3 linked regions of the Arabidopsis thaliana genome follow. The protein of the gene in region 1 purifies or fractionates together with the protein of each later gene. This does not show direct contact. Each region holds a gene or a part of one and is shown in the gene's direction. Other genes may lie near its edges.

The links.
Region 2: the proteins of ACO2 (region 1) and ATMS1 purify together in Arabidopsis thaliana (affinity purification with mass spectrometry, with the first as the bait; one large-scale study listed by BioGRID). This does not show direct contact.
Region 3: the proteins of ACO2 (region 1) and HSP60-2 purify together in Arabidopsis thaliana (affinity purification with mass spectrometry, with the first as the bait; one large-scale study listed by BioGRID). This does not show direct contact.

What each region holds. Positions count from the first base shown.
Region 1 is NC_003075.7:13,539,082-13,550,479, forward strand, and holds ACO2 (aconitase 2), read left to right. Parts: upstream 1-3,836; 5' UTR 3,837-3,995; coding exon 3,996-4,290; intron 4,291-4,598; coding exon 4,599-4,703; intron 4,704-4,781; coding exon 4,782-4,942; intron 4,943-5,047; coding exon 5,048-5,140; intron 5,141-5,218; coding exon 5,219-5,404; intron 5,405-5,603; coding exon 5,604-5,765; intron 5,766-5,864; coding exon 5,865-6,009; intron 6,010-6,098; coding exon 6,099-6,241; intron 6,242-6,539; coding exon 6,540-6,596; intron 6,597-6,678; coding exon 6,679-6,758; intron 6,759-6,850; coding exon 6,851-6,926; intron 6,927-7,031; coding exon 7,032-7,217; intron 7,218-7,298; coding exon 7,299-7,366; intron 7,367-7,449; coding exon 7,450-7,568; exon of another isoform or gene 7,569-7,778; coding exon 7,779-7,900; intron 7,901-8,036; coding exon 8,037-8,135; intron 8,136-8,214; coding exon 8,215-8,694; intron 8,695-8,776; coding exon 8,777-8,875; intron 8,876-8,951; coding exon 8,952-9,194; intron 9,195-9,277; and 3 more. Other genes in the region: AT4G26960 (uncharacterized protein), read right to left, coding at 1-250, 511-572; AT4G26965 (NADH:ubiquinone oxidoreductase, 17.2kDa subunit), read left to right, coding at 636-747, 1,137-1,193, 1,344-1,396, 1,523-1,574, 1,856-1,918, 1,995-2,054, 2,469-2,511, 2,651-2,701 and 1 more; AT4G26980 (RNI-like superfamily protein), read right to left, coding at 9,732-10,136, 10,254-10,398, 10,594-10,671, 10,934-11,103, 11,190-11,317. UniProt on the Arabidopsis thaliana protein: Catalyzes the isomerization of citrate to isocitrate via cis-aconitate. Contributes to oxidative stress tolerance. Involved in acetate assimilation.
Region 2 is NC_003076.8:5,930,774-5,941,467, forward strand, and holds ATMS1 (Cobalamin-independent synthase family protein), read left to right. Parts: upstream 1-4,264; 5' UTR 4,265-4,430; exon of another isoform or gene 4,431-4,595; intron 4,596-4,982; 5' UTR 4,983-4,997; coding exon 4,998-5,347; intron 5,348-5,436; coding exon 5,437-5,524; intron 5,525-5,792; coding exon 5,793-5,920; intron 5,921-6,026; coding exon 6,027-6,418; intron 6,419-6,519; coding exon 6,520-6,683; intron 6,684-6,781; coding exon 6,782-6,862; intron 6,863-6,959; coding exon 6,960-7,126; intron 7,127-7,220; coding exon 7,221-7,326; intron 7,327-7,418; coding exon 7,419-7,669; intron 7,670-7,753; coding exon 7,754-7,955; intron 7,956-8,053; coding exon 8,054-8,422; 3' UTR 8,423-9,092; downstream 9,093-10,694. Other genes in the region: AT5G17910 (cardiomyopathy-associated protein), read left to right, coding at 1-81, 440-1,519; AT5G17930 (MIF4G domain-containing protein / MA3 domain-containing protein), read right to left, coding at 9,358-9,741, 9,831-10,247, 10,405-10,506, 10,591-10,694.
Region 3 is NC_003071.7:14,073,276-14,083,187, reverse strand, and holds HSP60-2 (heat shock protein 60-2), read left to right. Parts: upstream 1-4,415; 5' UTR 4,416-4,619; coding exon 4,620-4,657; intron 4,658-4,908; coding exon 4,909-4,933; intron 4,934-5,013; coding exon 5,014-5,145; intron 5,146-5,307; coding exon 5,308-5,467; intron 5,468-5,592; coding exon 5,593-5,864; intron 5,865-5,944; coding exon 5,945-6,049; intron 6,050-6,127; coding exon 6,128-6,214; intron 6,215-6,315; coding exon 6,316-6,405; intron 6,406-6,502; coding exon 6,503-6,583; intron 6,584-6,679; coding exon 6,680-6,748; intron 6,749-6,827; coding exon 6,828-6,905; intron 6,906-7,016; coding exon 7,017-7,112; intron 7,113-7,205; coding exon 7,206-7,305; intron 7,306-7,398; coding exon 7,399-7,502; intron 7,503-7,584; coding exon 7,585-7,690; intron 7,691-7,804; coding exon 7,805-7,883; intron 7,884-7,959; coding exon 7,960-8,095; 3' UTR 8,096-8,421; downstream 8,422-9,912. Other genes in the region: LCR49 (low-molecular-weight cysteine-rich 49), read left to right, coding at 1-44; YUC7 (YUCCA 7), read left to right, coding at 1,217-1,915, 2,041-2,412, 2,553-2,777; AT2G33220 (GRIM-19 protein), read right to left, coding at 2,687-2,783, 3,263-3,403, 3,485-3,556, 4,000-4,214. UniProt on the Arabidopsis thaliana protein: Implicated in mitochondrial protein import and macromolecular assembly. May facilitate the correct folding of imported proteins.

The sequences.
Region 1 (11,398 bases):
GAGATGGGGCATCTGATCCATAGTTATCGTCTGCGGCGTCGCGGCAATAGGACTCTCGGAAGATGATGAAGGCGGGTCGACTGGGTCCGAGAGAGAACGAGTCAGGGGGAAATTGGATCTAGCGTTGTTGATTCTAGCGTTACGGATCTGAGCCAGAGCCCCTGGTTTCATGTAACGATGGAAACCGTCGTTTCTTCTCACCGGCGATCTGGAGATTCCTTTCATGGTGTAGAAGAGGATTGTGAGGGACCTGAGAAAGGATGATTGGGGAAACGAAGGGGGGCTCTTTGTAAAGGAAGGAGTGGGTGTGATGGAGAGGCGGGAAAACTGGAATTGGGAATTCGAGAGGCGGGAAAATTAAAATTAAGGTTTTGTTTTGAATAAGTAAGAATACGATACGTACGTTCGATAACCAGCTAATCCTGAAACTTAAACCGGTGTATTCCAATCCCTGGTTCATTTAATTAAACCGGTGATTAATCGGGTCGGATATTCTTCCACATTAAATACCCGTTACCGGGTCGGATTCTTTTTGATCCGGACGGAGCAGACTCGATTGGGGAACAATTCATTCTTCTGGGTGTGTTGTGTTTGAGTTTTTGGATCATACGAAGAAGAAATCGGCGGGAGAAGCTATGTCGAGGCTATGGGCGAGATTTGCGGGATTGTTCAGTAGCAAGAGTTTTATCGGAGTAGACAAGACTGGTAACAAGTACTTTTCCAGAATGGAGGAGATTGACGGATTCGGCGAGTATTGTTCTTCCAACCTCTTATTTCCTTAAAAAATCTTTTTTTTTGTTTGATTTATGTTGGAATTTGGTTATTGCGTGAAATTTATGTATCTCTTAAATTTGTCAAGTTGCTGAATTTCTTTGGTTTTCTCCGTACGATTTGATGAATCAGCTGTCTTTGCATATCGCGAGTTGCAGTGAAGCAAATGGATTTAGAAAAATTAATATCGTATTGTTTTAAAGAACATTGTCTGCTTCTTTTCATACATGAAAAGATTCAGCTAAGTGTGATCATGTAAAATGAAACTAACAGAGGTTATTTAGATGATCAAAACGAATATTAAGACTCTTGTAGAATCCATTTGTAGAGTAATATATTCTGATGTGCTTCTTTCTACTATCCAGTGAAGGAGAAAAGATGGGTCAAGTTTAGACGAGAGGAGGACCCAACCTCTATTCCTGGTAACTCTTCTTTAAAACATAAAATGGGTTGTTATATACGACCATATATTCATTTACTTGAGTGATGTCAGATCTGAAATAAGCACATCTATAAGATATATGGCATGTATACACGAATCTAGTTACATTTTTGTTTGATCAATGTTGTAGTTGAATGGATTTGTTGGCTGAATGGGCAGCGAAAAAGGGCTCCTACTCCTGAGGTAAGATAAACTCCTTTTTAACCAGAATTATTTGTGGTCAGCATAGTGTTCTTACCATGGAAGTTTTTCATTGCATACAGACTGGCTATGCTTGGCCTTTGATATTGGTGTTTGTTATTGGTTCAGGAAATGATTGAACTTGAAGCAAGGCGTGAGCGTGTAAAGCTTAATGTTGCTCGTAGGTGTTTCAGCTTATAAATACATTTTCTAAACTTATATCCTTTTAAACGTCTTAAAATTATTATTTCCTTGTGTCATTGATCCTTACTGCAAACAGTTTATGACTTTGAGGACTTGATTTTATGAACTTCGAAGTTGTGAATGAACAAAGTCAAGAATTATTTCTGTTTCTGTGTTAGCAAGTCAAGAAATCCGTATGCAAATTTTCCATTTAATATGTCGCTCAAGTTCAAGGCAAAACATTTATCGTTTTTCTTTTGCCTTTATTTCCTTGTCAAGTTCTCAAGAAGGAAGAGGAGGAGAAGAAAGCCAGAGTAGGCACCGGACGCAAAATCACCATTGGTAATTAACATTAGAGCCCAGAAAATTTGTTTCATTTATGAATTGGTAGCTTAATGTTCGGTCTCCTTGTGTAAAGGTAAAGTTGATGGTCCAGATTTGACAAGCTTTGTTCGCCAATTTCCACCAGATTCAAAAGGTATTACATTTTCTCTGCCAATAGATTAATTGAGTCACCATAGATGCTGATGACTAACTTCTTAGGAATCCCTTGTGTAAATTTGATAGAGATTATGATGGATATGCGTTTATATTTTTGTGGTGTTTGACCCATGAAATGGTGTCCATTGGCTGATGATTATAATAGTTTTGTGAAAGAAACATCTTTTGAATGTTCCCCATATAACCATTATGATTGCGGTAGCTTAAAAGGGCAACAAAATTGTTCTCATGCACCATTATATATCGTTTAAGTCATTTGTTGATTCAAGGGCTGAGGTTACTACAGTTGCTAGATTTCTTATAACCTTAAAAGAGATTATGGTTCGACCATAAAGTCGTGGAAGTAAGACTGACAGTTAAGTTTATTTCCTTTTTTTGTTAATGCTTTAAGGTGGTGAACCAGAGGAAGCTAGTGAAGAAGCAGATAAATCAAGGTGAGTCATCATGATTCATAATATCTCCGCACTAATCATATATGTGTTAAATCTTCTTACATTCTATTTTTTCCTGGATGCAAAGCACAACATCTTTCAGAAGACTAACATAACCACATGTTCTCACATTGCTTTACAGGGCCAAGGAACATGAACCCGAGATAGTTTCTGCAGAACCACCCGAACCAAAGTAAGTCTAGCCAACTTGACATTGTTAATCCTAAAGTTCAGATTCTAGCTCACGGATACGAAACATGACTCGTTCTTTCTGATAGTTACAGACTGCTACTATGCTGAAACTGTTCTCTATGAACATAAGTTATGTATTGTGTTTGGTATGCTTTAAATTAAACTAATGTTAATGTTGATGTTGATGATGATGCAGGACAACAGAGCCATCAGGATCTGGATCATCATTTAGGCCCGGGACATGGCAGCCACCATCCTAAACACATCTCTCTTCACGCAGATGACAAACCAACATACTATTCAATTATTTTGTTTGTTGTACTCTACACAACCGATTGGTTTGAGCCTTACAGATGAGCCATAAGACCAGAGAGCTTTTCAAGACCCTAAAATTGTGTCCTTTCACGCTGTCATTGAGGACTTAGAAGAGTCAAAATGAGAAGCCATCTTCTTATACTTTGTTTTGTTTAGGGTGTTTGTCTCTTGGCATAATGCTTGAGACTTTTAGCCTGCCTTGTCCTTCATAGCTGAAGAGGAGCCTAGCTACCTTTTGTTTCTCTTCGTTGACTTGAATAAAACAGTTTGATTGAATAACAGTTATTCATTTTCATGTCATGATGGTAGTGGATATAAGAAAAAACAAATACATAGAATAATTATTTTAATGTTTCAGAGGAGAAATCCTACTTGGCTTGTGCCAGACTCATAACCCAATCAAAACTTCGTATTACCAAAATAAGTGTAGTTCTAAATTTTATTCTGGTTTAGGCTGTAGTTATAAATTACTCATTTTAGTTTGTGAATATAAAATTACTTTCTGCAAAAGAAAATATTCTCATCTTTCGACGAAAAGCCAATTATTCGAATGTTCTCACGTTGGTCTGTAGCTGTAAACTTTATAGTTTATATAATAAGGTGTTCTACTGTTCTTATATAATTTGCAAGAACAAATAATATTAAATGCAAATAAAAAATAGTCAACGGTCCAAAGTGGATCATAAGCCGTCCGTTCGGTCGTCTGAACTTCATCCAACGGTTAAAAGAAATATACCTGACGTGGCCTTGGGCCATTGTATATTAGTAGTGAGTGTGCCCTTGGAAGGTTCTGTAAAATGTTTTATTCGCCTCTATCAGAAGCTTGACGAAATCTCTTCTCCGTCTCTCTCTCTCTTTCCCTCGTCCATTCCACGATCTTCTTCCAATCTCAAATCTCCCATTTTCTAGTGTTTCATTTTGATCCTTCTTCCTTCCTCTGGAGATTTCTCAAATCTCTTCAACTATTTTGATTTGCCGCCATGTATCGACGCGCCACTTCCGGCGTGCGTTCTGCCTCCGCAAGGCTTTCTTCTTCCCTCTCCAGGATCGCCTCTAGCGAGACAGCTTCGGTTTCGGCTCCATCTGCGTCGTCGCTTCGCAATCAGACGAACCGATCTAAGAGTTTCTCCTCGGCTCTCCGCTCCTTTCGAGTTTGCTCTGCTTCCACGCGGTGGAGCCATGGTGGGAGCTGGGGATCGCCTGCTAGCCTTCGCGCTCAAGCTAGGAATTCCACTCCGGTTATGGAGAAATTTGAACGGAAATACGCAACCATGGGTATGTCTGTTTGCTTTCTCTGACGTTCTAAGAATGATTGCTCTTAACTTGTGTGACAAGAATCTGTGTTTACCGCATATCTGCTTAGATCGATTTTTCGCTTTAAAATGATGATCTACTGATTCTGATATGTTCTGATTCAAAGTAAAACTAGCTAGATGAACATTTGATTTGCTCTTGCATTTTGGTTTATGATTTGTAGATTTAGTCTACTAAATTTCTTTTTTGTATATTCTAAAAGGACAAGCAAATTCATGTGTTATGTGTCAATTGAATTATGATTTTAATGTTTGATGTGAAAAACGCAGCTTCTGAGCATTCCTACAAGGATATTTTGACAAGTCTTCCTAAACCTGGTGGTGGAGAGTATGGAAAGTACTACTCGTTACCAGCTTTAAACGATCCAAGAATTGGTATGTTTCCTCGTGCCTCTATCTGTTTTGTATGTAATGGATTTCTGGTGAAGTTAATACCTTTTTGTGATAATGCAGATAAGCTGCCATTTTCTGTAAGGATACTATTGGAATCAGCGATTCGTAACTGTGACAACTATCAAGTCACAAAGGATGACGTTGAGAAAATCCTTGACTGGGAGAATACATCTACTAAGCAGGTTGAAATTGCCTTCAAGCCAGCCCGTGTTATCTTACAGGTTTGTAGCATATTTTTTCTGTACTTCTACACTGAAAACCCCTCCAGGCCTCTAAGACTGGTACAGATTAAGTCAGCATATGCTAACTTGTATTTTTTTGCCCAGGACTTCACTGGAGTACCAGTTCTAGTTGATCTTGCTTCTATGAGGGATGCAGTGAAGAATCTTGGTAGTGATCCTAGCAAGATCAACCCCTTGGTTAGTGAAGTTTCTTATTGCTTTACGGCTGTAATATGTTTAATCCAGCACTTCTCATATTTACCTGTATATATCTAGGTTCCTGTTGATCTTGTCGTTGATCACTCGATCCAAGTTGACTTTGCAAGGTCAGAAGATGCCGCACAGAAAAATTTGGAGCTTGAATTCAAAAGGAACAAAGAAAGATTTACGTTCCTTAAGTGGGGTTCAACAGCCTTCCAAAACATGCTGGTCGTTCCTCCTGGGTCTGGGATTGTCCATCAGGTACAAGATAACATGTGATGACAGTAAATTCTGGTTGCCTTGTTGAAAATTTTGAACAGGTTTTCTGAAACATAAGTGTGATTAGAGTATTAGCCTGTTTAATCTGTTTGGTAGACTACTAGATTTCAAGGGGTGCATGAATTTCATAATGCTGTCGAATGGTTCTGTTATGATAGCTTGTTATTATTTAATACTGCAGGTCAACTTGGAATACCTTGGACGTGTTGTTTTCAACTCGAAAGGATTTCTCTACCCTGATAGCGTTGTTGGAACCGACTCCCACACAACCATGATTGATGGATTAGGAGTCGCTGGGTGGGGTGTTGGAGGAATTGAGGCAGAGGCAGCAATGCTTGGTCAGGTGAGCTCATTTCGTCTGTACACCTTCACTTTTTATTTGTAAGTGTCAAATTTGCTTTGCCACTCATCTTAGTCATATGGTACTTCAAAAACTTATCAGCCCATGAGCATGGTGTTACCTGGCGTGGTCGGGTTTAAGTTGGATGGAAAGTTGAAGGAAGGGGTTACTGCTACTGATTTAGTTCTCACTGTGACCCAAATATTGAGGAAGCATGGTGTTGTCGGCAAGTTTGTTGAATTTTATGGTGAGAACCATGGCTGCGTAACTTTTTATTTCTGATGGACTATTATTTGGTCAGTATCCATGTTTTAACTTATTTCTTTCAATACGAAGGTGAGGGGATGAGTGAACTTTCACTGGCTGATAGAGCCACAATTGCAAATATGTCTCCCGAGTATGGAGCAACTATGGGTTTCTTCCCAGTGGATCATGTTACACTGGAGTACCTGAAGTTGACAGGAAGAAGCGATGAAACTGTGAATCCTCTCTCTCTCTCTCTCTCACTTTCTCTACTTTTTTATTCTTTCTTTTTTGGTAAAGTAAATCATCATGCCTAAAATGTGCTTTAAGTTTCAAGTTCTGGTACTTGTGGTTTACATGTGCTGAGGCTGACTATTGCTGCATAATCTGTTTCAAGACATTTTAAGGAGCTATCTGTAGACTTAGGTTGTTATGGTCTACAGTTTGCATTATCACGTGGCCTATTTTTTCTGTATCGTATCCTGTTTCCTCTGGTTTCTGTGACTCACATGATCGCCAACTTGGTTTATTTAGGTGTCAATGATAGAATCATATTTGCGCGCAAACAATATGTTTGTTGACTACAACGAGGTATGGACATTCTTAATCAGTTTACTGTATTTTATTTATTTTGACAAGATTCTCAACTCCAAATATCTGTACATTATTGCAGCCTCAGCAAGAAAGAGCATACACATCTTATCTGCAGTTAGATTTGGGACATGTTGAACCATGTATTTCTGGTCCTAAAAGGTATATTCACTTCGTTTTGATATTTAGAACTTTCTGATCCATCGCCGTACCTCCCTAAGGTTTCACTAATTACTTTATTTTCTGTTCAACAGGCCTCATGACCGAGTGCCTCTGAAAGATATGAAGGCTGACTGGCATGCATGCCTTGACAATCCTGTTGGATTCAAGGTGAGATGCAAGTTGTATTTACAACAAAAATCATTAAACAACCAATGACGTTGATTTGTTTTTTTTTTTTTGGATAAGTTGTAAGACTTTGCTTTTTGTTTCAAGGGTTTTGCAGTGCCAAAAGAAAAACAAGAAGAAGTTGTGAAGTTCTCATACAACGGACAACCTGCTGAGATCAAGCATGGTAGTGTTGTTATTGCGGCAATTACTAGTTGTACAAACACGTCAAACCCTAGTGTCATGATCGGAGCAGCACTCGTTGCAAAAAAAGCTTCAGATCTTGGCCTGAAGGTGAGTTTCCACCTTTTCTCTTTTCCCTGAGATCACTGGGTTCTGAATCCTGTTTTTACTGTAAGTGACGTTTCAATTCAGGTAAAACCATGGGTTAAGACAAGTCTTGCTCCAGGGTCTAGAGTTGTCGAGAAATATTTGGATCGAAGGTCTGTTGGAGTCAACGCTGTTTCCATCTGGATATCTTATCTGATCACGGAACATACATACTGAACGTTTACTTTCTCTGCAGTGGGCTCCGAGAGTCCTTGACCAAGCAAGGATTCGAAATTGTCGGCTACGGCTGCACAACATGCATTGGGAATTCTGGCAACCTTGACCCAGAAGTTGCATCTGCTATAGAAGGAACTGGTAACAACATCTTCATCAATACCAACATACTCTAAAATTGTCAGAACATGTTTTTTTTTTGTTCTCTTAGCATCTCCTTCTGCCATTTTCATTTTCTTTTCATCTGGAATCCTCGTCAATTGTGTTTCTCCACCAATAAATTAGTGCCCCTATATCGTCAGACTGAAGCTCACTTTTTGGTTGGTCCATTGTGCTTCCTCCGTGTCACAGATATCATCCCAGCTGCTGTGCTGTCTGGAAACCGAAACTTTGAAGGTCGTGTTCATCCACAAACAAGAGCAAACTATCTTGCGTCACCACCATTAGTTGTTGCTTATGCCCTTGCTGGAACGGTTTGTACTTTCCAACTTTGGATATCCTTAATTGGTGTGGCATCATAGTTCATCACCAACAAGATTGAGTAGTTATTCGCTAAGTAGTCTCATCAATCTTGAATTTGTTTCTATATATTGATCTCTACGATTACAGGTGGACATTGATTTTGAGAAAGAGCCTATAGGAACCAGAAGTGATGGAAAAAGTGTGTACCTGAGGGATGTATGGCCAAGCAATGAGGAAGTTGCTCAGGTACATTGGTGACATGCTTAGAGGATAAGCTATTCACTTTTAAATGTTCCTTGCTAACATTCCTGATACTCTTCCATAGGTTGTTCAATATAGCGTGCTACCAAGCATGTTCAAGAGCTCGTACGAAACAATAACAGAGGGAAACCCCTTGTGGAATGAACTCTCTGCACCGAGTTCCACGTTATATTCTTGGGATCCAAACTCCACGTACATTCATGAACCTCCGTATTTCAAGAATATGACCGCAAATCCACCTGGTCCTCGTGAAGTGAAGGATGCTTACTGCTTGTTGAACTTTGGGGACAGTGTAACAACAGACCACATCTCTCCAGCAGGAAACATTCAAAAAACTAGTCCTGCTGCAAAGTTTCTAATGGACCGTGGTGTGATTTCGGAAGATTTCAACTCATATGGAAGTCGAAGGGGAAACGACGAGGTTATGGCTCGTGGTACATTTGCCAATATCCGTATTGTTAACAAGCTCTTGAAAGGAGAAGTTGGCCCCAACACTGTTCACATTCCGACTGGAGAGAAGCTTAGCGTTTTCGATGCAGCAAGTGTAAGTTGAATCGTCAGACAGCTTCAACACATATATATAGATCCTTCTTTAAGTCCCTAACTCATTTCACATATGCTTTCAGAAATACAAGACCGCTGAACAGGATACGATCATCCTGGCTGGTGCTGAGTATGGAAGTGGTAGCTCTCGGGATTGGGCTGCAAAGGGTCCCTTGCTTTTGGTAAGCTTTACATTGTTTACAACAGTTGTCAGATTGTGGCTATGTCTTGTGATCGTAACAGTTAAGCACAAATTAGGGAGTGAAAGCTGTAATTGCCAAGAGCTTTGAGAGAATCCATCGCAGCAACCTGGCTGGTATGGGGATCATTCCTCTGTGTTTCAAGGCTGGGGAGGACGCGGAAACCCTTGGACTCACTGGTCATGAACGCTACACAGTCCACCTTCCTACAAAAGTTAGTGACATTAGACCCGGTCAAGACGTCACTGTAACCACTGACAGTGGCAAATCCTTTGTCTGCACCCTGCGTTTTGATACAGAGGTAAACTGGTTATATAGCAAACAAATTCAGTAAAATCAAAACTTCATTTGATCTGAGACTTGTTTTTGTGGGGACGTGCACAGGTGGAATTGGCATACTATGATCACGGCGGTATTCTACCATACGTCATCCGGAGTTTGAGCGCCAAGTGATCTCAAAGTGTTTTTCGCCTTTTGTTTTCTTCTTATGTTAAGATCCCAATAAAGCAAGTTTTGTGAGCATCTTTTTTCTTTCAGGTTACACTAAACCTTTGTTGGCAAGAGTTGCTATAAGAAAATGCAAAAATACACACTTCATTTTATAAACAGTTTAACGTATCTTTGACCGTAGCATCAATTGAAAGACCTGGAAACAAGATTAAACTGTTACAAACACTTTTCTCTAACCAGCCACTCTATTCACTTTTGCTCCCCAGAAACTGCTGTAAACTGATTGAACTTGACCACAGTAGAGAAAAGAGGCATGCATTCTTAGAAATCCACTCATCTTCCTCCTATATTTTCTTTGTCATACATTTTATGAAGAGAATCCATATTGTTAACTCTTGTGCAAAGATCTGGTAGCCTTTGATGCAAAAACCATTGCTTTGGCTTCGTCGCTTGACATCATCCAATCCCTCTCAGCACGACGTTGACGTTGCCTTGCATTCTTTGCACGTTTAGGGGCCATTCTTGCATCTCTCTCTGCAAATGCTAGTCTGAACTTCTCTGCTATTGACAGTTCATTGCTTAACGGGAAAGATGTGGGCTTCTGCACAACTCCAGTAACAACCCACGTCTTAGGATCAATATCTTTGACAAATGGTTCGTCCAGTGCAACATCTGGTAGTGCTTCTCGAGGAACCTCGTCTGCTCTGTACGCGACAAGTGATGGCTTGGGATTTACCACTATTCTTGGACACTCCGAGGATAACATCTCCAGTGAATCCTTATCAATTCGTGGCTGCAGAAAAAGCAAATTAAATGAGTACACTGAGTGGCAAGAGACACAGATGGAGAAAGTAGATTCTTTTGTTTACTGGTAGCTTATTAGTCAGTCTGTCAGAGGGACGATACATACCCAAACAAGCCAACGCAATGATTGACCACCATGGCCAATCTCTGAAGTGTCTATTTCTTCCCATGTTTCTCCTTCAACATTACTCAAGTTTGGCTTAAAAATACTCAAAGATCTGCGTGCCGTGGACTCACTGCTTGGGCATCCCCTGCAATATTAAATTTTCTCTCATTGCCTGTTTTATAAAGTTTGGTAGCCCTAGGCAAACCCACACACTGGGTTCAATTCTATCTTACTTTACCCAAATGATCACTTACTAAGTCATAAACAAAAAGACAAGCCACCCCAACAACAACACACTAAAAGCCAGTTCACTGCAGTTAGCTAGAGAAGTAAAATATACCCGCATCTAAGAGTCTCCAATGATCTGCAGTGTTGTACAAGCTCTAAGACGCCCATGGATGAGATTTTGTTGCACCGGCTGCATAACAAAATAAGGCAAATTATATGATACTTGAGAGCTAACGAGCACCACTTATCCAACATACAGAAGCCCCAAACTAAAGAACCAGCAAGACCAGAGCTACAAGTAAATAAACTATCCCAGGTTGCAAAACTCAAACGATACCCAACACAATCAGACATATGTGTGGCTAGCTTATCTTGTTCCCATCTCAAAGGAAACAGCTTATACAGAAAACATAGAGAAAGCATACTAAATTCTTAGCAAGCAACTATAATACCTAATGTCCACAGCTCGGAGAGATTTGCAGATTTCTGCCACTTTAGCTAAGCCAAAATTCGTAACATCTGAACCGCTAACATCTAGAATTTCCCAGGAACTGTCAGCCAAACAGATAATCACATCATCATCCAGCAGCTTTTTTCTTCTAGCAATTGCTGCAATCGACATCTGTTGCACATGAGTATGCCTTTGATTAGCAAATGGATATAGTACTAAACAGCTTGAAAGAAGAAAACACTGAAACCACAATTAACCTTGATGTCTGCAGGAAATATAACAGAGATTTCAGCTAAACAACGAATCATATCCTCCAAATGCTTCCCAATAACACCAAGACATGAGCTCACAAGAGATGGAGGTTTTGATTTCAGTGGAGACATTCCTGCGATTGAAGCAAACCATTGTCAAATTCCAACTCCTAATTACCACCAGCCATGCTTAGACCCAAATTCAGTAATCCATT
Region 2 (10,694 bases), on another chromosome or scaffold:
CCATCTGAATCAGATAGAGAACTGACATGGTCAGATAAATCTGTGGTAGAACAATCATCTCTTGAACCTGGTGACGATCAAGTAAGTCATGAAACTTATCTTCTCTAATAGATGCACAATATCACAGTTACTTTAACATACTATCTTATGCTGCTCTCATCTACGTTTGAGATAGTCTATGTGATATACTCAACATCACAATCTACAAACTATTGGAAGGAATATACGGAATCAATTTCTTTATTGATACATGTGCTACAACATATCTTCTATATATGTCACGTTTCTAATCTGATAATGGTACATCATCTAAATTTGTGGTTTCTTAAATAGAACTGGAAATAGTAACAGGTCGATACCTATGTTTGGACTTCTTTATTCTTTATACAATTTGTTAAGCGGGAGATCTGTTTCTTATCGCTATGTTGCGTTATTGCAGGTACCAACTCGTGCAGGTCCTGTGAGTGTCGTCTTTTCCCGCAACATCACTTTTCACGAGTATCACGATGCTCCTGAAGATACAACCGAGTTATCTTGTTTGACGTCTGATACATCCTCTTCTCCAACAGAATCTCCCGAGTACACGACACCTATGGTTGGTGAAGGCTCAAGGGCAGAGTTTTTCCAAGAGGATATTTATGAGGAGCTAGACCATGTGGTGGAGCGATTAGAGCAGCTTACAGACTTGCATGCAATATCTCAAAGTCCTCCTGAAATTATCACCGAAGAGGCAGACGAGATAAAAGAGATTGATGAAGGATTGTTGTCTGAACTTGACTCGATTGGAGACTTCAATGTTAAGGAAGTTGTGACAGATACTGAACCTGGGCCATCTTCGATAGAAAATGCTATGAACCAGGCTGTTGTAGAGAGCATGGAAAAGCAACCAAAGTCACCACAATCAGATAGTAGGTCTGGAGAAATCATGTGTGCAGTTGAAACCAAACCATCGGAGTCTTCAGTTGACGAAAGTTCTATTGATGAAACAAACGTTATAACAACATCCGATGTTTTACCTGTCGTAGCTCGATCACTGGAAGAATTTCCGCAACCTTCTGAACCAAAAGAGGGGATTTCAATGGAGATAATCTCTGAAAGCGTGATGATTCCCACAGAAGCTACTGGTCCTGGTAATGTAACAGTAATTGATGAAGTTGTGACCGAGGAAACGAAAGCTGAGACCACCGAGAAAGAAGAAGAAGGAGAAGAAGAGGAGGAAAGTAAACCAAAAGAGATAACAAAATCTGATGTTTTACTTGTCGAAACTCGAGCACTGGAAGAATTTCCCAAACCTTCTGAACTAAAAAAAGGGATGGCAATGGAAGTAATCTCTGAAGGAGTGGTAATCCCCACAAAAGCTGCTGGTCCTAGTAATGTAACACTAAGTGATGAGGTTGTGACTGAGAAAGCAAAAGCTGAGACCACTGCAAGCAACACTGATGCAAATGTCCAGAGTCCTGAGTCCAAAGAAACTCCAGAGAATTCGGTGGAAACTATTGCAGAGCAAAAAGGAAAGTAGGAGAAGAAGACGAAGTCCAACCCTTCAAGCTCGAGTTCAAGCTCAAGCTCTAGTTCGAGTGACTCAGATTGAAAATTAAAGGGTAATACATCATCTCAAACTCAAGTAAATATATCTTTGTTAAAGGGTAATGATAGGCACTTCTGGGTTTTGTTTTTTTTCATCTGTGTCCTCTGTTTTAAAAGGGGCAAGAAGTAGCCGCTAATCATATTTTTATACCAAGTTTTCTCCTTCCTTTGTATTGGTTTTCTTGTGTGTTTGTGTTTCCTTTTCTCTTCTTTCTTCAGCTTTCATATTTATCGATTTGATTGATTTGTATCTCTTGAAACCAGAGAGGTTTTCTCAGGGTTTTGGATTGTGTCTTTAAATACTTTTCTCGCATCTTTTTTGGGGGGTTTGTTATTTGTATTGGACCTGAGAAATGGGAAAGGTACTGCCGTTTGGATTTTTCTATGAACATTGTAATATAATGGACTCGATCGAAGATGGTAACACCGTTCAGATTACAAATAGTTTTTGGTGGTTCATATTTAGTTGTAAATCTCTTATTAACATGAAGCATTGCCTCTCTTTTTTTTTTTGGTAAAAGATGAACTTGTGTTTGAGATTTTATGTAAATAAAGTATCCAAGTATATTCATATAAATCACCAACTTTTGATTCAAAGCATAATGTGTGTGTATACAGTTTTTATTGTTTCACATGTCTAAAAGCATGCCTTTCCATAGTTTAATCATAAAGTTTTATAAGCCAGCAATAAGAATACTTTTGGATCTTGTGATTCGTGTATCATATGATTACCAAACTCAAGATGCCAAAAAAGGTTGGTAAACAAGTATTTTATTGATCCAATAATTTGTTATACTAATACACATACGATTTAGTTCAATAATTCCTAAAGAAAAGTTTTTTTGTTTGTTTTTCATTTGGATTGTTAAAGTATTCAATTCTTTATGTCGTACAACAAGTAAATAGAAAGAAAAAAATAGAGTGCGAGTTTCACTTTCAATAAATGCTTGTGTGATTATCTTTATTTGTGTACATACTAGATCTACATCCACCGACAAACCAGTGTCGAGGAAGCATATGCAACTGTCCTGCAGATTTAAAGTCTCATGTAATTAAATGTTGTTCAATTTGTTTGTTGTGTGATTACCAGTTTGATGTATAGTTAAAGTTACCAAGTAATAAAATCATCAAACATACATATAGTACTAATTTTTTGTTTATCACATAAACATTTTGTTGACTTTTTGGTGTTGTTTGCAATAGCATCTTCTTGATAAATTCCTAGTGAACTCAAAATTGACCTACACCAGTTCCATACAAATAGAAAGATACTCCAAAACTAGTTGTGGAAGTGGTTGAATATAATTTTATATTCCAAACTTAGAAAATTCATGTTAAATTCCGCAAAAGAGCTTATAACGTAGTTTATGCACGATATGGTTAAACTTCCTCAGTTGCTATAGAGTTAAAAAAAAACAAATATTTTGAAATTGGTAACTAGTACGTGAAATTTTTTAATGCAGACTGAAAGAACAAAATAAAACTTAAAATATGTTTACAAAAAAATATTCTTTCATGATTTACGCAAACCAAAAGTTACATTTAAGGTTAGGAAAGAAAAAATGACCTAGGAAATTAAAACAATGAGGTTCGTTGATAAAGGTCAAGAATCAAAGTTTGGTAGCCAAATTACCAGCAAACAAAAAAAGATTAAGACCATTAATCCATCGCGTATACTCATTGTCTTATGAATCTTAAACAATAATATTATATTATATACAGTAGGTCCATAATTTATGTTTCTTTACCTACTCTATTTACCAAAAACATACATAGTTTTTATCTGACTTACACAAGTGTACTAATGGCCAGACAAGATTGTTACTTGTTCAAGTAAAATTGTGTTACCAGATATTCAACTTTCTATATATACATATAGATTTGACAACTATTCGACTTTCTATATTTAACTGAAAGAGTTGTATCACTGAAATTTGGAGTATTGTTCCCTGTAAATAATTCGATTTGTTTCCAAAACGCTATGGAACAGGCCTTGATTTTGATACTCTTTCGTGCTGACACTTGAAACGGCGTCGTATCAATAATAGAAGAAAACCTTACTGTGGAAATAATCAAATTGTGAATCTCCACCAACCTCAATGGGTCCCATTGCCACCCACTAATCTCCCCACGTACACCAACTCCCCTTCACGTTTTAATCTCTTAATATACTTTTATTATAAGTTAATTAAATGATTTCAACCTTAGTAATACTAACCATTAATTATTCATTTCTAATCTCCAATATTTTTTTTGAAAAACCTTTCTGTTCAGATATTTTCGTCAATTAATCAAGATCTCATTCATAAATTAAAAAAAAAAACAAAATTCAAGCTAAAAATACATACCCAACAAAAATTCCTTAAAAAAATTACTTATGGGGCATCTGGTAATTTAATTTTCCTATAAAAGATGGCAATATTAATTCAGTTTTTTTTTTTAATTTACCAATATGATACTTTAATTATATTTCTTACTTGTTAGCTCTACTAATGCACACATACTTATTTCTACGAATATAAGAAAAAAATACTGAACTCAAACAATAGACAAAAAAGAAATAATCCTACACTCAAGTGTGTTGAAAAATAACATCAAATTCAGAGAAAATGCACATACACCAATAATATAAATAAATAGGGATATTTAAAATAATAAATAAAATTGCGAAAATATCGAGCACCACCAGATCTACAGAAATGACACAGAGCCCAACGATGATGTATCTCGTTTATTTTCGCTATAAATAAACTCACACAGCCCACTCTTCTTCCTCGCTCTCTCTTTCGCCTTCTCTTAGCCTACCCTTTTTCCTTCCTCCTCTCCGATTCTTCCTCCGTCAGGTTCGTCTCCGACTTTCTATGTCTTCCTTACGTCTCTCTTATTTAGCTCCCTTTCCTTCCTTCTCCACGTTATTATTACTACTTCGCTTTTAGTGTGATTCGTTTCATTCTCGTTTTTTTATATTCCTCGATCTGTTTGCTCATTTGTTGAGATCTATTCGCTATGTGAGTTCATTTGACTCAGATCTGGATATTTCGTGTTGTTCGATTTATAGATCTGGTTTCTGGATCTGTTTACGATCTATCGTCATCTTTCCTTTGAAAATGATTGGTGTTTCTGTGTTCGTATTCGTTTAGATCTAAAGTTTTTGATCGATGAATGTCGCATGTGTTTTTATCTGAAAGTTTTCGATTACAGTATCAAGTGGTGGTAGTAGTAGTAGTAGACTCAAAAAGCTGCACAAACTTTTTATACACGTGAATTGTGATTGCTTTACGGTTTTCTTGGAGTTTGTTAATTAAATCATTTAATATTAAGAAGTTTATGAATTAAGAGAACGTTATTTTATACTATGATTTTGATTTTGATTTGGTTTGTGTGTTTTAATGCAGTAAAAGAAAATCAAAATGGCTTCACACATTGTTGGATACCCACGTATGGGCCCTAAGAGAGAGCTCAAGTTTGCATTGGAATCTTTCTGGGATGGTAAGAGCACTGCTGAGGATCTTCAGAAGGTGTCTGCTGATCTCAGGTCATCCATCTGGAAACAGATGTCTGCCGCTGGGACTAAGTTCATCCCTAGCAACACCTTTGCTCACTACGACCAGGTTCTTGACACCACCGCCATGCTCGGTGCTGTTCCACCTAGGTATGGATACACTGGTGGTGAGATCGGCCTTGATGTTTACTTCTCCATGGCTAGAGGAAATGCCTCTGTGCCTGCCATGGAAATGACCAAGTGGTTCGACACCAACTAGTGAGTCTTCATTGATCTCTTGTGTTCTTTTTGTTGACATTGGTCTTTTTGAGTTGTGGACTAATTTGATTATGCTTTTGTTGATGCAGCCATTACATCGTCCCTGAGTTGGGCCCTGAGGTTAACTTCTCTTACGCATCCCACAAGGCGGTGAATGAGTACAAGGAGGCCAAGGCTGTACGTATCATTCTTTACTAATATCCGTTTCTTAGGAAATTACTGTTTGCTCGTCTAATTAACTATTAGAGATCATAGGCTTTAGTTTGAGGATATAGTGTTTAAGCTTAGATTCATTGAGTGGTGTTTCACTGAGGATGCTAATATGCTAGGAAGGTCTCGGATGCATTGAATATAAAAACCGTTAGAAAAGTCATCTGGCACTGGTTGTCTAAAGTAGTTTTTTTTTCTACGAAGTTCTGATCTGGTTTACTTGATGTTTATGCAGCTTGGTGTTGACACCGTCCCTGTACTTGTTGGCCCAGTCTCTTACTTGCTGCTTTCCAAGGCTGCCAAGGGTGTTGACAAGTCATTCGAACTTCTTTCTCTTCTCCCTAAGATTCTCCCGATCTACAAGTAAGAAATCACTTTATTGTTTTTCTTTATTATGCCATCCGTATCCTTGATGTTATCAATGATCCTCTGACATACCACTGATATAATGACTTTGATTTGTGTACAGGGAAGTGATTACCGAGCTTAAGGCTGCTGGTGCCACCTGGATTCAGCTTGACGAGCCTGTCCTTGTTATGGATCTTGAGGGTCAGAAACTCCAGGCCTTTACTGGTGCCTATGCTGAACTTGAATCAACTCTTTCTGGTTTGAATGTTCTTGTCGAGACCTACTTCGCTGATATCCCTGCTGAGGCATACAAGACCCTAACCTCATTGAAGGGTGTGACTGCCTTTGGATTTGATTTGGTTCGTGGCACCAAGACCCTTGATTTGGTCAAGGCAGGTTTCCCTGAGGGAAAGTACCTCTTTGCTGGTGTTGTTGATGGAAGGAACATCTGGGCCAACGACTTTGCTGCGTCCCTAAGCACCTTGCAGGCACTTGAAGGCATTGTTGGTAAAGGTAATTGTTCTTCCAAAATCATCTGCCTTTTACCTGACATTACTAGGGAATTATTGAAAAACAACTGTATGAAATGTTGATCTGTTGTCTTTTTGATGCAGACAAGCTTGTGGTCTCAACCTCCTGCTCTCTTCTCCACACCGCTGTTGATCTTATCAATGAGACTAAGCTTGATGATGAAATCAAGTCATGGTTGGCGTTTGCTGCCCAGAAGGTCGTTGAAGTGAACGCTTTGGCCAAGGCTTTGGCTGGTCAGAAGGACGAGGTATTTTACCCACATGCTCCCCTAGTAGTGGACCCTTGAATTATCTGTAGTGTAATTGATCCAGAAAAATCTAGAACTCAATATTTTTTTTCTTTCAGGCTCTTTTCTCTGCCAATGCTGCGGCTTTGGCTTCAAGGAGATCTTCCCCAAGAGTCACCAACGAGGGTGTCCAGAAGGCTGTAAGTTTGATTTCAAACTGATGCACTGTGCTCACCCAATGGTTTATTTTCCTAATCTTGTATTGATTGAGATAGTTTCTCATTCTTGTTATCTCAGGCTGCTGCTTTGAAGGGATCTGACCACCGTCGTGCAACCAATGTTAGTGCTAGGCTAGATGCTCAGCAGAAGAAGCTCAATCTCCCAATCCTACCAACCACAACCATTGGATCCTTCCCACAGACTGTAGAGCTCAGGAGAGTTCGTCGTGAGTACAAGGCCAAAAAGTTAGTCTCCTAAATTTAATCCTTGGGCTTATGCGTCACACATTTTCTTAAATTGTTGTGATGCTAATGGTTTCTTTAATCTCTCTTTTACTAGGGTCTCAGAGGAGGACTACGTTAAAGCCATCAAGGAAGAGATCAAGAAAGTTGTTGACCTCCAAGAGGAACTTGACATCGATGTTCTTGTCCACGGAGAGCCAGAGGTGAATTTTTTTTATTATTCTATGTTTTTGCCTGATATTTCTAGTAATCCTTGGTACTGTTTCTGATGAGACATGTTTTCACAATTTTGTAGAGAAACGACATGGTTGAGTACTTTGGTGAGCAGTTGTCTGGTTTTGCCTTCACTGCAAACGGATGGGTCCAATCTTATGGATCTCGCTGTGTGAAGCCACCAGTTATCTATGGTGATGTGAGCCGTCCCAAGGCAATGACCGTCTTCTGGTCCGCAATGGCTCAGAGCATGACCTCTCGCCCAATGAAGGGTATGCTTACTGGTCCCGTCACCATTCTCAACTGGTCCTTTGTCAGGAACGACCAGCCCAGGTACATAATGTTACTATAATCTAAAAACAAACATAAACACCAAATAAAGAACAAAACACTAAGACAATCTTGGAATCATTGTAGGCACGAAACCTGTTACCAGATCGCTTTGGCCATCAAGGACGAAGTCGAGGATCTTGAGAAAGGTGGAATCGGTGTCATTCAGATTGATGAGGCTGCACTTAGAGAAGGACTACCACTCAGGAAATCCGAGCATGCTTTCTACTTGGACTGGGCCGTCCACTCCTTCAGAATCACCAACTGTGGAGTCCAAGACAGCACCCAGGTTTGCTTAAATAAAAACTACACATAACGAGTCTCATGTAGTGTAATGCTTTCTCAGTTGCTCATAACTTATGTGTTTCTGGTGTTTTTTTTTTGCAGATCCACACTCACATGTGCTACTCCCACTTCAATGACATCATACACTCCATCATCGACATGGATGCTGATGTCATCACCATTGAGAACTCCAGGTCTGATGAGAAGCTTCTTTCCGTGTTCCGTGAAGGAGTGAAGTACGGTGCTGGAATCGGTCCAGGAGTCTACGACATCCACTCTCCAAGAATACCATCTTCTGAGGAAATCGCAGACAGGGTCAACAAGATGCTTGCTGTCCTAGAGCAGAACATCCTTTGGGTTAACCCTGACTGTGGTCTCAAGACCCGTAAGTACACCGAGGTCAAGCCTGCACTCAAGAACATGGTTGATGCGGCTAAGCTCATCCGCTCCCAGCTCGCCAGTGCCAAGTGAAGAAAAGCTTGATTTGAACAAGGAAACGTTTTTTTTTCTCTAAAATGGTTGTGTTTTATTTGGTTTAATAACTTTCTTAAAAATATTTTTAGTCGAAGGTAGATTTGATGCATATGGTTTCTTTCTTGTTGAGAGAGAGAAAGGCTATAGCATCCTTTGGATTTGATGCAATGTTTGTGATTTTCTTTTTGTCTCCAATATATTTCTCTGATGGAATGTCTTTTTTCTAAAGTATCTTGAAAAGGAATAAGAGGATTGATTCTTATACAAATACTTTTGTTTGCGTTGTCCTAAACTCACTACTTTTTTTTATCCGACGCAATCAGTGCTTTGTAGCCTGTTCTTGAAGTAGGCCCCTTTGTATGTCTCTATCTGGCTCCTGTATCAGATTGTTGTTTCCCTTAGATTTCTTTATTTCGTTGGCAAAAAGAAAATCTGAATTGCCCCACAAAGAGCGTGGTGGCTGATGTTAGGTTGCAGTCTCATGGTCCACCACTTTAGACTCGAAGATTTATTTCGCTTGGAGAACATCTTCGTTGATGTTTATGTATCATTTGAACTGTAGACTGTAGCCAAGTAGAAGGTTTTAACTCTGTAAAATCTGAGATGTTGTATGTTCTCAAGTTTTATCTCAGTAATTCAAGTCTCTTTGAGTTCAAATAAGAAAAAGATTGTAGCTCGGTCTCGAAGAAAAGTTCTTGCTCATTTGCAGTTTTTAATATTATTTTTCTCTCTAAGATTGTGTGAAAATAACCTAGTTAGTAAACCAAATTCAATTAGTGTAAAAGAACCTCAACCTTTTAAGATCGTTTTCAGTAAATTTTTATTGAAGATGGTGAATGATAAAAATCTTACAAAGTAGAAACTTTAATTAAATTAGAAGATAGTGTGTACAACAAAAAGAGACTTCAAAATTGTTGGTGGCAACAACAGGATCACATGAGTAATCCTTCTGCATTGTTAAGTGCTTCTTTAGCTTTCCTGAATTTCCCATAGATTGCCTTGTTATTTTTCACAACATATTCCTTCACAAAGAACTTGATGCCATCTCGTAGAGCTTCATATTCCGGATTCAAGGCTATGCGTGTGAACAAGTTCCACACAAGATTCTCAGGGTGCTCAAAGATGGCCTCGAACAGCATTCGAAAGTGCATGATTCGTTTTGGAGTTAACTCCACTGGATTTGCTAAGTCAACGGATTTGAGAACAGCAAGAGAAAGATTGAAGGTTACAATAATCTCTGCCACGAATTTCGCCAGATGCATCGATCTCTGAAGTGACATCGACTCTAGTTCTTTAAAATGGTCCCAAATGCAATACTGCAGGAAAAAAAACACAAGAGATGATAAGAGAAAAAAGAATGGTTACATAACCATGGCTTCGGTTCTATTAGATAGTAAAAACGTACCTGCAGTGTAAACTTATGATTTTTGTCGTGCTCGCACAACTTTGAAGCAAGGACTGTGTAGAACTTGTTGAATGCTTTCTCCTGTAAACAGCATTCAACTAGAACCCTCATGATCTCTCTGTCCTGTTTTCCTGGCAAATCCAATCTAAGAAGTTTCTCGAATGCATCGATGTAGTCCTCACTACTCATGATCACACAAAATATTGCTTTTCTGGAATCTGTATTCATCCTCTGTGCCTCAGCTAGCTTTAACATTTTTTGGGCCTCAACAACCTCTGCATCCATTGTTTCTGCTATATCTTCAGCGGTGTTTGAGTCAACCACCAAATCGCCAGAAAGCCACCACTGACCCTTCTTCTCGGGGTCAAGCAGCTTGCTCCATGTAAGCCCTCTTAATAACACTTCTTCTACTCTCAACTGGGTAAATTATAAAAAAAACGGACAAAAACAAATGCATTTTAGTCAAAACTTACTAATCCAAAAGCCACCTAATAAGCAGAAGCATACATGTTTATAATTGTCATGATGGAATCCATTTTATAACATTTCGAGGAATAGAGCGCTAAAATATTACCTTTTGAAGCCACTTCTTTACCCTTGTGTTCTGGACGGAATCCTCTTTGGCTCTCAACTTGTTGTTCTTTATTGCGGAAATGGTTTCAAGCATCTTTTCCATCTGCAAATTCATTGAACAAACAACTTTAAAAAAATCATAGTATAACATTTTCTTCCCGAAGACAATTTTTCATAGAATTCATACCATCATGTTATTCATTTGTGTCTGGCCATCGGAGGAGGTTTTCAATTCATTTGCCTTGTTCTGGATGCTGATGATGAATGTTTTCATAGCCAGAGGATCATCAC
Region 3 (9,912 bases), on another chromosome or scaffold:
ATATCGTGTCTCCTTCTCAACCTAAAAAATGTTGTTGTTATTAATTAAAATTGATGATCCGGTAATTTCCTTATGTTTTTCCTTATAACTATGAGAAGCATGTGGTTAATTTCTCTTGTAATAAAAATTCCATGAAAATAAAAGCCATCTTTCAAATACACAGGATGTTCTAGATTAGAGGTGAAAACAATAATACAAGAGGAATAATTGTGTAAAATTATTGTATCACAATATGTACTGATATTTCATCATTGCATTAAAAGAGGAATTGACCAAATTAATTTAAACATGAAGAACCCAAATTTTACACTCCAGCTGCACATGAATAGATTTCACATTTCTCTTTCAGCCTCATGTTATGCGTATCTAACCCTAGATTTGGTTTGTGCATTGATCGATGTAGATCTTCTTAAAACATTCCAAATCTATATGATTAACTTATCACAAGAACAATGTGTTTAACTTTAGTATGGTATTTAACAATTTGTTTAACTTTAGTATGGTATTTAACTAAAAAAAACTTTACTATGATGCTCTTCGGACGTAACACTTTGCGTCTAATGAACGGGATTAAAACCCTCGGTTTTAGGTTTAATTGAACTCATGAGAGTGGTCGTTTTCTTGAAGAAACAATAGAAAAGCTAAATGGACCCATTTATGATCCTGTCTCTTTTTTTAATAGAATGTCTGCTCCTTTTTTCTCAAAGACCGGATTACCGGATTAGAGAATTCTCATATAGTATATGTGGGTTTGTATCCGAGTGGTGACACAACGCCGATTCTAACACAAATCATTCGGATACATCATACATGTTTTGGTCGAATATAACACAAACCATTAGGACACAACAATAGTTTAAACACAAGTCATTAGCCATGATGTAATATAATTTAGGCAAAACTTTTCAATAAGTGTCAGTTTCATTCTTATAATTATAATCCGGTATATGTATATTCAAGTATTGATCTCTTCATACATAGCTTAAATCAATTAATAAATGCGGCTACAAGCCAATCATTTAACCATTTAGAAGTTAAATTAAATGGAGTAAAATAATCAAATAATCATCTTGAGAAATAATTTTTTCAAAAACAAAATTCCAAATTGCGTAAAGCTCTTCTCTATATAAACCCTTTCCCCTCAATCCATCTATCATCATTACATCTTTTCTTGCCCTAAAAGTAAGTATAAATACACTAAAAAGCTCCCAATAAGATGTGTAATAACAATAACACAAGTTGTGTCAACATCTCAAGTATGCTTCAGCCTGAGGACATTTTCTCCCGTCGTTGCATCTGGGTGAATGGGCCTGTCATCGTCGGTGCTGGCCCATCAGGCCTAGCTGTCGCCGCCGACCTGAAACGCCAAGAAGTTCCGTTTGTAATCCTCGAGCGAGCTAACTGCATAGCTTCTCTGTGGCAAAACAGAACCTATGATCGTCTCAAGCTTCATCTCCCAAAGCAATTCTGTCAATTACCCAATTTACCCTTCCCCGAGGATATCCCGGAGTATCCAACGAAGTACCAGTTTATTGAGTACCTTGAGTCCTACGCTACCCACTTTGATCTCCGCCCCAAGTTCAATGAGACGGTCCAATCAGCTAAATATGACAAGAGGTTTGGGCTGTGGCGGGTCCAGACTGTTTTGAGAAGCGAGCTGCTCGGTTATTGTGAGTTCGAGTATATATGCAGGTGGCTCGTGGTGGCGACGGGAGAGAATGCTGAGAAAGTGGTGCCGGAGTTTGAGGGTTTAGAAGATTTTGGTGGTGATGTTCTTCACGCTGGAGATTATAAATCCGGCGAGAGGTACCGCGGAAAACGAGTTCTCGTAGTTGGATGTGGAAACTCAGGCATGGAAGTCTCTCTTGATCTATGCAATCATGATGCGAGCCCATCAATGGTCGTTCGAAGCTCCGTAAGTAAAATTCAGTAAATTATACCCACCAAGTTACGAAAAACAGAGCACCCTGATTCTTAGTAGCTCCTCTGTTTAAAACAGAGCATCTGATAGTTATACTCTGTTTTTCCTTGTTCGATCAGGTTCATGTATTACCGAGAGAAGTTCTTGGGAAGTCGACGTTCGAGTTAAGTGTAACAATGATGAAATGGATGCCGGTTTGGCTCGTGGACAAGACTCTTCTCGTTCTCACAAGGTTACTTCTAGGGAACACCGATAAGTATGGGCTCAAGAGGCCTGAAATTGGACCGTTAGAGCTGAAGAACACCGCAGGTAAAACTCCCGTGCTAGACATCGGAGCCATTTCAATGATCAAATCAGGAAAGATCAAAATCGTAGCGGGAATAGCTAAGTTTGGTCCGGGAAAGGTCGAACTCGTGGATGGTCGAGTTCTGCAGATTGATTCAGTGATTCTTGCCACTGGTTACAGAAGCAATGTCCCTTCATGGCTTAAGGTAGACAAAAGTATTATCTTTTTCAGATTTTTGTCTCAAAAGATAACATTTTATAGGACCATAGAATACCGGTATTGATAGTTATGGGAAGTTTGATAAAAACTAAGACGTTGATTGGTGATTGATTTATTGTTATGCAGGAAAACGACTTGGGTGAGATTGGGATAGAGAAAAACCCATTTCCAAAAGGGTGGAAAGGGAAGGCTGGATTGTATGCGGTGGGATTCACCGGAAGAGGACTCTCAGGTGCATCGTTCGATGCAATGAGTGTAGCTCATGACATTGCCAATAGCTGGAAAGAAGAAACTAAGCAACAGATCAAAACTGTCGCTACTCGCCACCGTCGTTGTATTTCACACTTTTGATTTTCACTGTTTATACGAAAACATATATGAGAAGAGGTAAAAAAGAGAGGATCGATAGTGTTATGTGATGTGAAAATCAAAGAGATAAGCCCACTCCATGAGAGTATAACTGTGAAATGTGTTTGAGCTTATTTTCTTGTAAGGAGGATGTGGCTCCATGTATTTAACGTATTCTTTAACATTCCAACTTATCTTTTGTTAGCAAATGTGTTTGATTAGAGCTGATCTAGAAAGTTTAAAACATGATTAGTTTAAACAAAATATATGAACATGTGTCTGAAACTGATTTCGTCATTGACAGAAATAAGTGAATGAGGGAAAAATACCGAAAACATTCCTCCGTACCGTACCAGCAATACATGAACTGTGTATGTATCATTTCTCTTATTATACGATGGAAATATAGAGACAACAAACATCAAGGTTCTAAAATGCTTAAACAAACATTCATTCATCATCATCAAAAGGAGCCATTGAAATTTTACCAGACATCAGGACGAAGCTCTCCGGTAGCTGGAGGCATCCAACGACCAGAATTGTACACGTTTTCACCGACTTTCCATCCAGGAACATCCTTCATCACATCCGCCTCGTATTCTAGATACTTCTTCCACTCAGACACAAACCTATTTACAAATCAACACGTGGTGATCCAATGTGAGAGTTTGTACCACACAAGCAAACATAACTTCTTTTGTGAATCCTACCTTTCATCTTCTTCAGCTTGAAGAATCGGTAGAATTGCTCTACGTGCAGCGTACTTCTCTTCCTTCAACGCCCTATCATCACAGCAATCTTCATTAAAACTTTGGAGTTGATACATTGTGCTCATTTTGACACTTTTGTCATCATTATGCAATTGAGAGTCTAACAATAGAAGACTATTAGAGAATGTCACTTACACACACCAAGAAAGATAACACTGTGTTGTCTTATTCGTTGCAAATTACTCCAAATCGACACTAATCAAGCTAAATAACTCACAATGTGACCATCTAAAAACCAATATGCAACTAACCACTAGTATATCATCTTGCAATTTGATTGCTTTCTTCATCACAGCTCAAGAGATCGTTAATTAGTAACCAATTTCGAGACTAACCACACAAATTTATAAGCATCAATCCCAAATTGTCTTAAGATTCAATCCCAAATTACTCAAAATTTCACAATAGAGAAAAGCCTAACCAAACTCAAATTCCACATCTCATTATCTAATTACCTGCGGATTTTGTTGCCCTGACCAACTTGGTACATGCCCCAAGCAAAAGCACCGGAAACGGTAAGGAAAATAGCCATGGCGCTAGGTCCCGTGTTGGAGATCCGGCGAGCATATCGGACCGGCGCGAATCCACCAGGTGGTGGACCATCCTGAAGCAACGGCATATCCTTCACACTCGCCATTCCTGGCTTCTTCCTTATCATCGCCTCCGTCATCTTCTTCCTCGATTGATCCCCAAATCGATCTTTGATTCGTTAATCAGTGTGTGTTCTAGGGATTCTGAGAAAGACAATCAGAAATGAAATGAAATGAAAAATCTTTTTTTTGGTGACTTTTTTTTTAAAATGTTGTAATAATGAACTGGGCTTTAAAAGGCCCATATTAAAATAGTACCGGGTCAAAACTCGAACCGGATCCAAAACCGGAGGCTAAAACTCGACCAAGCAATGATGAGCTTGGAGAAAACGTAAAACCCTAAACCCTACTGCTTATAGAATCTTCGACGATCTGCTTCATTTCTCCTCATCTACGAGTGAGAGAATTTGTCAATTTAGCTTCTTTAGTTCGGTCTGATCTGAATTAATTGCAATCTTCTCGGTTGTGTGAGAGAATCAATCACCATGTATCGGCTTGTCTCCAACGTTGCTTCCAAAGCTAGGTAGATCTATTCGACTTTTTGGTTTTCTTTGTGTATATGATTCCAATGCTGCTTTATTTTCTGTGAATTTGTTTCTGATTGGATCCTCGAAATCGGAAAGTTGCGAGAAACTGTTGGGAATTGAATCGGATTTTGATCGGATTGAATTGAATATTTCTCTGCCATTGGAGAGTTTAGCATCTTCTATTTTCTTTGTATTTCTGGAAGTTGCTTCATTTATTGATGGGATTTATTTTTCTTTGTTTCAACAGGATTGCCAGAAAGTGTACAAGCCAGGTTCGTGTTCTTCATTTTGTATCTAATTTGTGGTTTAGCCGTTTGTGGGTATGTATTGATGTGAATTTGTGTATTGTTAGATTGGAAGCAGGCTCAATTCTACTAGGAATTATGCAGCAAAAGACATAAGGTTCGGTGTTGAAGCTCGGGCTTTAATGCTTAGGGGTGTTGAGGATCTTGCTGATGCAGTTAAAGTCACTATGGGACCCAAGGTATAAACTTATGTTTCAGATAATTTCTGTGTAAGAGACTTGTATTGTAAGTGAATCTAGTTAAAAATAGATAACGTGACGACCTATTGACAAGTATCAACAATCGTCTGTTTTGTTACCCTCACACTCTCTGATACTACATGTCTAAAACCATTTTTGAAGGGTCGTAATGTCATCATCGAACAAAGCTGGGGTGCACCAAAGGTGACAAAGGATGGTGTGACTGTTGCCAAGAGCATTGAGTTCAAGGATAGAATTAAGAACGTTGGTGCCAGTCTTGTGAAACAGGTTGCTAACGCCACAAATGACGTAGCTGGTGATGGTAAGTGTTCCCTTTCAATGGATTAAAACGTTTTTTCTGTTTTTGCTAATTGGGTTGTTAGTCTCCTATCTACTCATATTAATCGGTGTTTTTGTATCTGACAAAATATATGGTATGCGTTACAGGAACAACGTGTGCCACAGTCCTTACTAGAGCTATCTTCACGGAAGGTTGTAAATCAGTTGCCGCTGGAATGAATGCAATGGACCTAAGACGTGGTATCAAATTGGCAGTTGATACTGTTGTGACGAACTTGCAGAGCCGAGCACGCATGATTAGCACCTCTGAAGAAATCGCCCAAGTTGGAACAATATCAGCTAATGGAGATAGGGAAATTGGTGAACTGATTGCAAAGGCTATGGAAACTGTCGGCAAAGAGGGAGTGATCACAATTCAAGTGAGTTGAATTTTATCCCTAAATGTCAAATTATTTTGCTTATTCCTTAAGGTGACCAATGTTATCATCTCTTGATTCAGGATGGCAAGACCTTGTTTAATGAGCTGGAAGTTGTTGAGGGTATGAAGATTGACAGGGGATACATCTCCCCGTACTTCATAACTAACCCGAAAACACAAAAATGTGTAAGGATTCCCACCTTGTTACTTTATCAATTTAAGGAATTGCGGATTTAATTTGCTCTGAATGAATATGTGTTGCAGGAACTAGAAGATCCTCTCATTCTTATCCACGAGAAGAAAATTTCCAATATAAACGCAATGGTGAAAGTATTAGAACTGGCCCTCAAGGTATAAACAATTTGGCGATTTCTTCACTGTCAATAGTGTCTGATATTCATTAAGTTACTTTGATCTGAAGATCGAAATTTATTTTCACTGCCATTTTTCAGAAGCAAAGGCCGCTGCTGATCGTTGCTGAGGATGTGGAGAGCGATGCTCTTGCCACCCTAATTCTGAACAAACTTCGTGCTAATATCAAGGTTTTTCTTTTCAGCCTTTTGTTATTTGCCTTTTCCTTACAACGTCTTAGTAAAAAATTAATTTGATTGGATTGATGTACATGGTATTGCTTTATAGGTCTGTGCTGTGAAGGCCCCTGGTTTTGGAGAGAACCGAAAGGCCAATTTACATGATCTAGCTGCCCTCACTGGAGCCCAGGCATGCCCATGTTTCTTTTTATAATAACTGCCAAGACCATCACACCCACACTAATCGGATGAGCCATAATGTGTCTTTGGTGATTTCACTTTGTAGGTAATAACAGAAGAGTTGGGTATGAATCTAGACAACATTGACCTCAGTATGTTTGGAAACTGCAAGAAGGTTCGTTTGGTCCAATTCCTTCTGCTTTCTCTCTTTCTCCCTTGTACCTTCTGATAACTTGGTTTTCATTTGTTAACAGGTAACGGTATCCAAAGATGATACTGTTGTTCTCGATGGGGCTGGTGACAAGCAAGCAATTGGGGAACGATGTGAACAGGTTAGCGTGTTTTTCGCTTTTTTATCATTTAGTGGTTCAGTGTCATATACCTTTGCCCTTTTTTCCAACTGGTAGTTTTAATATGTTTTGAATTTTTATTAAACCACGCAGATACGATCCATGGTTGAAGCAAGCACTTCTGATTATGACAAGGAGAAGTTGCAAGAAAGGTTGGCTAAGCTTTCGGGTGGTGTTGCTGTACTAAAGGTAATGTACACCTCTTGTGAACATCAGACTAATAGGCTATTAATGCATTATTAGTTTATTACTAATGTCGAGATTACTCATATGGGTTTTTAGATTGGAGGAGCAAGTGAGACAGAAGTTAGTGAAAAGAAAGATAGAGTAACGGATGCTCTAAATGCCACTAAAGCAGCCGTAGAGGAGGGTATTGTTCCAGGTATAATCTATCCCAAATCTAAAACAAAATTTGGTTGAATCCCTTAAGAAAATTGCGTGAGAAGAGAATTATATTACTTTGTGTGTATTACAGGTGGTGGTGTTGCTCTTTTGTATGCTTCGAAAGAACTTGAGAAGCTTTCCACAGCTAACTTTGATCAGAAAATTGGTGTTCAAATCATTCAAAACGCACTCAAGGTGTTTCTCTCATCACATTGTTCATCCTCGCTAGCATAAACAGCTTCTAGAATCTTACACACAAAATCTTTCTTTGATGCAGACACCTGTTTACACGATTGCTTCCAATGCTGGAGTCGAGGGTGCAGTTGTCGTAGGCAAGCTTTTGGAACAAGATAATCCTGACCTTGGTTATGATGCTGCTAAAGGTTACACTCTTATATGCATTAGATAATTCACTTTCTATAGTTCTTGATCCACCTTGTTATATATTTCCCTATATTCCGAAATCTGAACTAGCTTCTTTTGGCATTTACTTTCAGGAGAATATGTGGACATGATAAAGGCTGGTATTATCGATCCTTTGAAAGTGATCAGAACCGCATTAGTTGATGCTGCAAGGTACACAAAGATTGAAAATTGGTTGTCCAATTTTGTATTTTATTGCAATGTTTTGCTAATTTATTCTATTGGTTAGTGTTTCGTCTTTGTTGACAACGACGGAAGCAGTTGTGACTGAGATTCCAACGAAAGAGGTAGCATCTCCGGGTATGGGCGGTGGTGGCATGGGCGGCATGGGTGGCATGGGCGGTATGGGAGGAATGGGTTTCTGAGGAGAACTATAAACCCTGAGTAGGGTTCTTTGGAATCTGTTGTGAGAGATGCTACGGTTGGTTCATCCACAAGACACTAATGTATTCTTTAATCATGATTGGTAGAGAGAGACCTTCAGATTTTCCGTGATTTTCAATTCACAAACGATTTATAAACTATTTTGAAGAAGATCCTTTTCCGATTCATGCAAATTTCTTCCAAAAATAATTCAGATTAGAGAGTTCAGTGAAACATCAAGTAGGTTGTGTTTGCGCATATGGAGGAGATTCCTTAGTTCTCGCCAACTATCACCAAACCCTTATATCTTATTAACACGATATTTAGCTGTTTATTTATATGTGGTTCAAGTAACAGACTACTTATTTCAAATAAAAAATGGAAAAAGCTTTTTTCATAGAACGAAACAAACGATATAGTGTAGTTTAAAGTATGTTACCCGAAAAAGAAAGCAAATCTACTTAACACGGTCCACAATTCGCGTGGTGAAGAAGGTTATAATTGGGTCCCAAAACATTCATTTCCCCCCAAAAAAAGTCATAATTATGAACCAAACTCTTTTTGTCTTCACGTCTTTGTCCGTTCCATAACCATAGCTTGCCCTACTTATTATAGCAGTAAGCCATAATCAAGGAAACCGTATTTGTATGTAACTTAATATTGTGGATTGATTACAGCTTGGAGGGAATTGATTCAATTTGGCCAGTTGGTCAAACGCAATGGTATAAGTCCACCGAACTAGATGGCAAAAACAAAAACAATTTGAGAATGTTCTTAAAAGTTCCAGTTCAAATGTGTTGTAAATAGTCAAATTCCTTTTACGAACGATATAAAAGTAGTCAAATAGAGATAGGGAATAAAGAAAAATACTTATCTAGATGATGAATTAGCTTAACGAGAAAACTATTAGTATCTGTTTTGGCAAGAAAATTTTATGTCTCGGTTGATTACACACACTTTTTAGTTAAACTACAAGTAATCAATCATAGATTTTACTTTAAGAAAGTTCCACAAACACGACGTGGCTGTCCATTATAACATAACCTCGTGGTCATGGAATGTTTCGTCTTATTTTATTTTTAATATTACACAATGTTCAAAGTTCTCAATTAGCAAGTTTCATGTGGTGTGATGAAAATCATTAACCATAAAAACCAACACTCAAGCGGAAATCCAACTCTCTTAAATTAAAATAATTCACTCAAAATTTTATTTTCATTTGGAGATAAAAATATAAATTGGTCAAAAGCAAAATAAAGATAGAGGTCATCAAATCGTACGGCTAGAAACAGAAGTGCACAGAGTTATTACGATGAAAACGTTACACAGAATCATTTTCATACACCAAAAGCTCTTTCTTTTTGTATTTTAAATCGAGTTTCGAACCGCTCTGCTTCTTCTTTACTCTCTGCGTGATTATCGTGTGAGAACATTGAACTCACACTTCAACTCTCAAGCTTCTTCTTCCTTCGCCTTCTTCTCATTCATTTGCTTCTGTGTCTAATTTTACATAGCGAAATTCCAGCCATAGCCAAAAAAAAAAGGGTCAGATTTTTTAAACGGATTTTTTTCTCTCTCTCTCAATTACTGATAATGAGTCTAATTGAGAGTTTCTCTTTTGACCTGTTGTTCTTGTTCTTGTCTTTAGATTCTAGGGATGTTCTTAAAGTCTTGGTTGATTACATTATGATCCTTCTAGAGTTTGTTCTGTGTCATCAATCTAAACCAAATCGCTCATATTCTTACAGAATAAAAGAATTGATTTAGACACTTTTTAGAATTTTGTATACATTGGATCAAGTAGCATTCAAAAAATAAT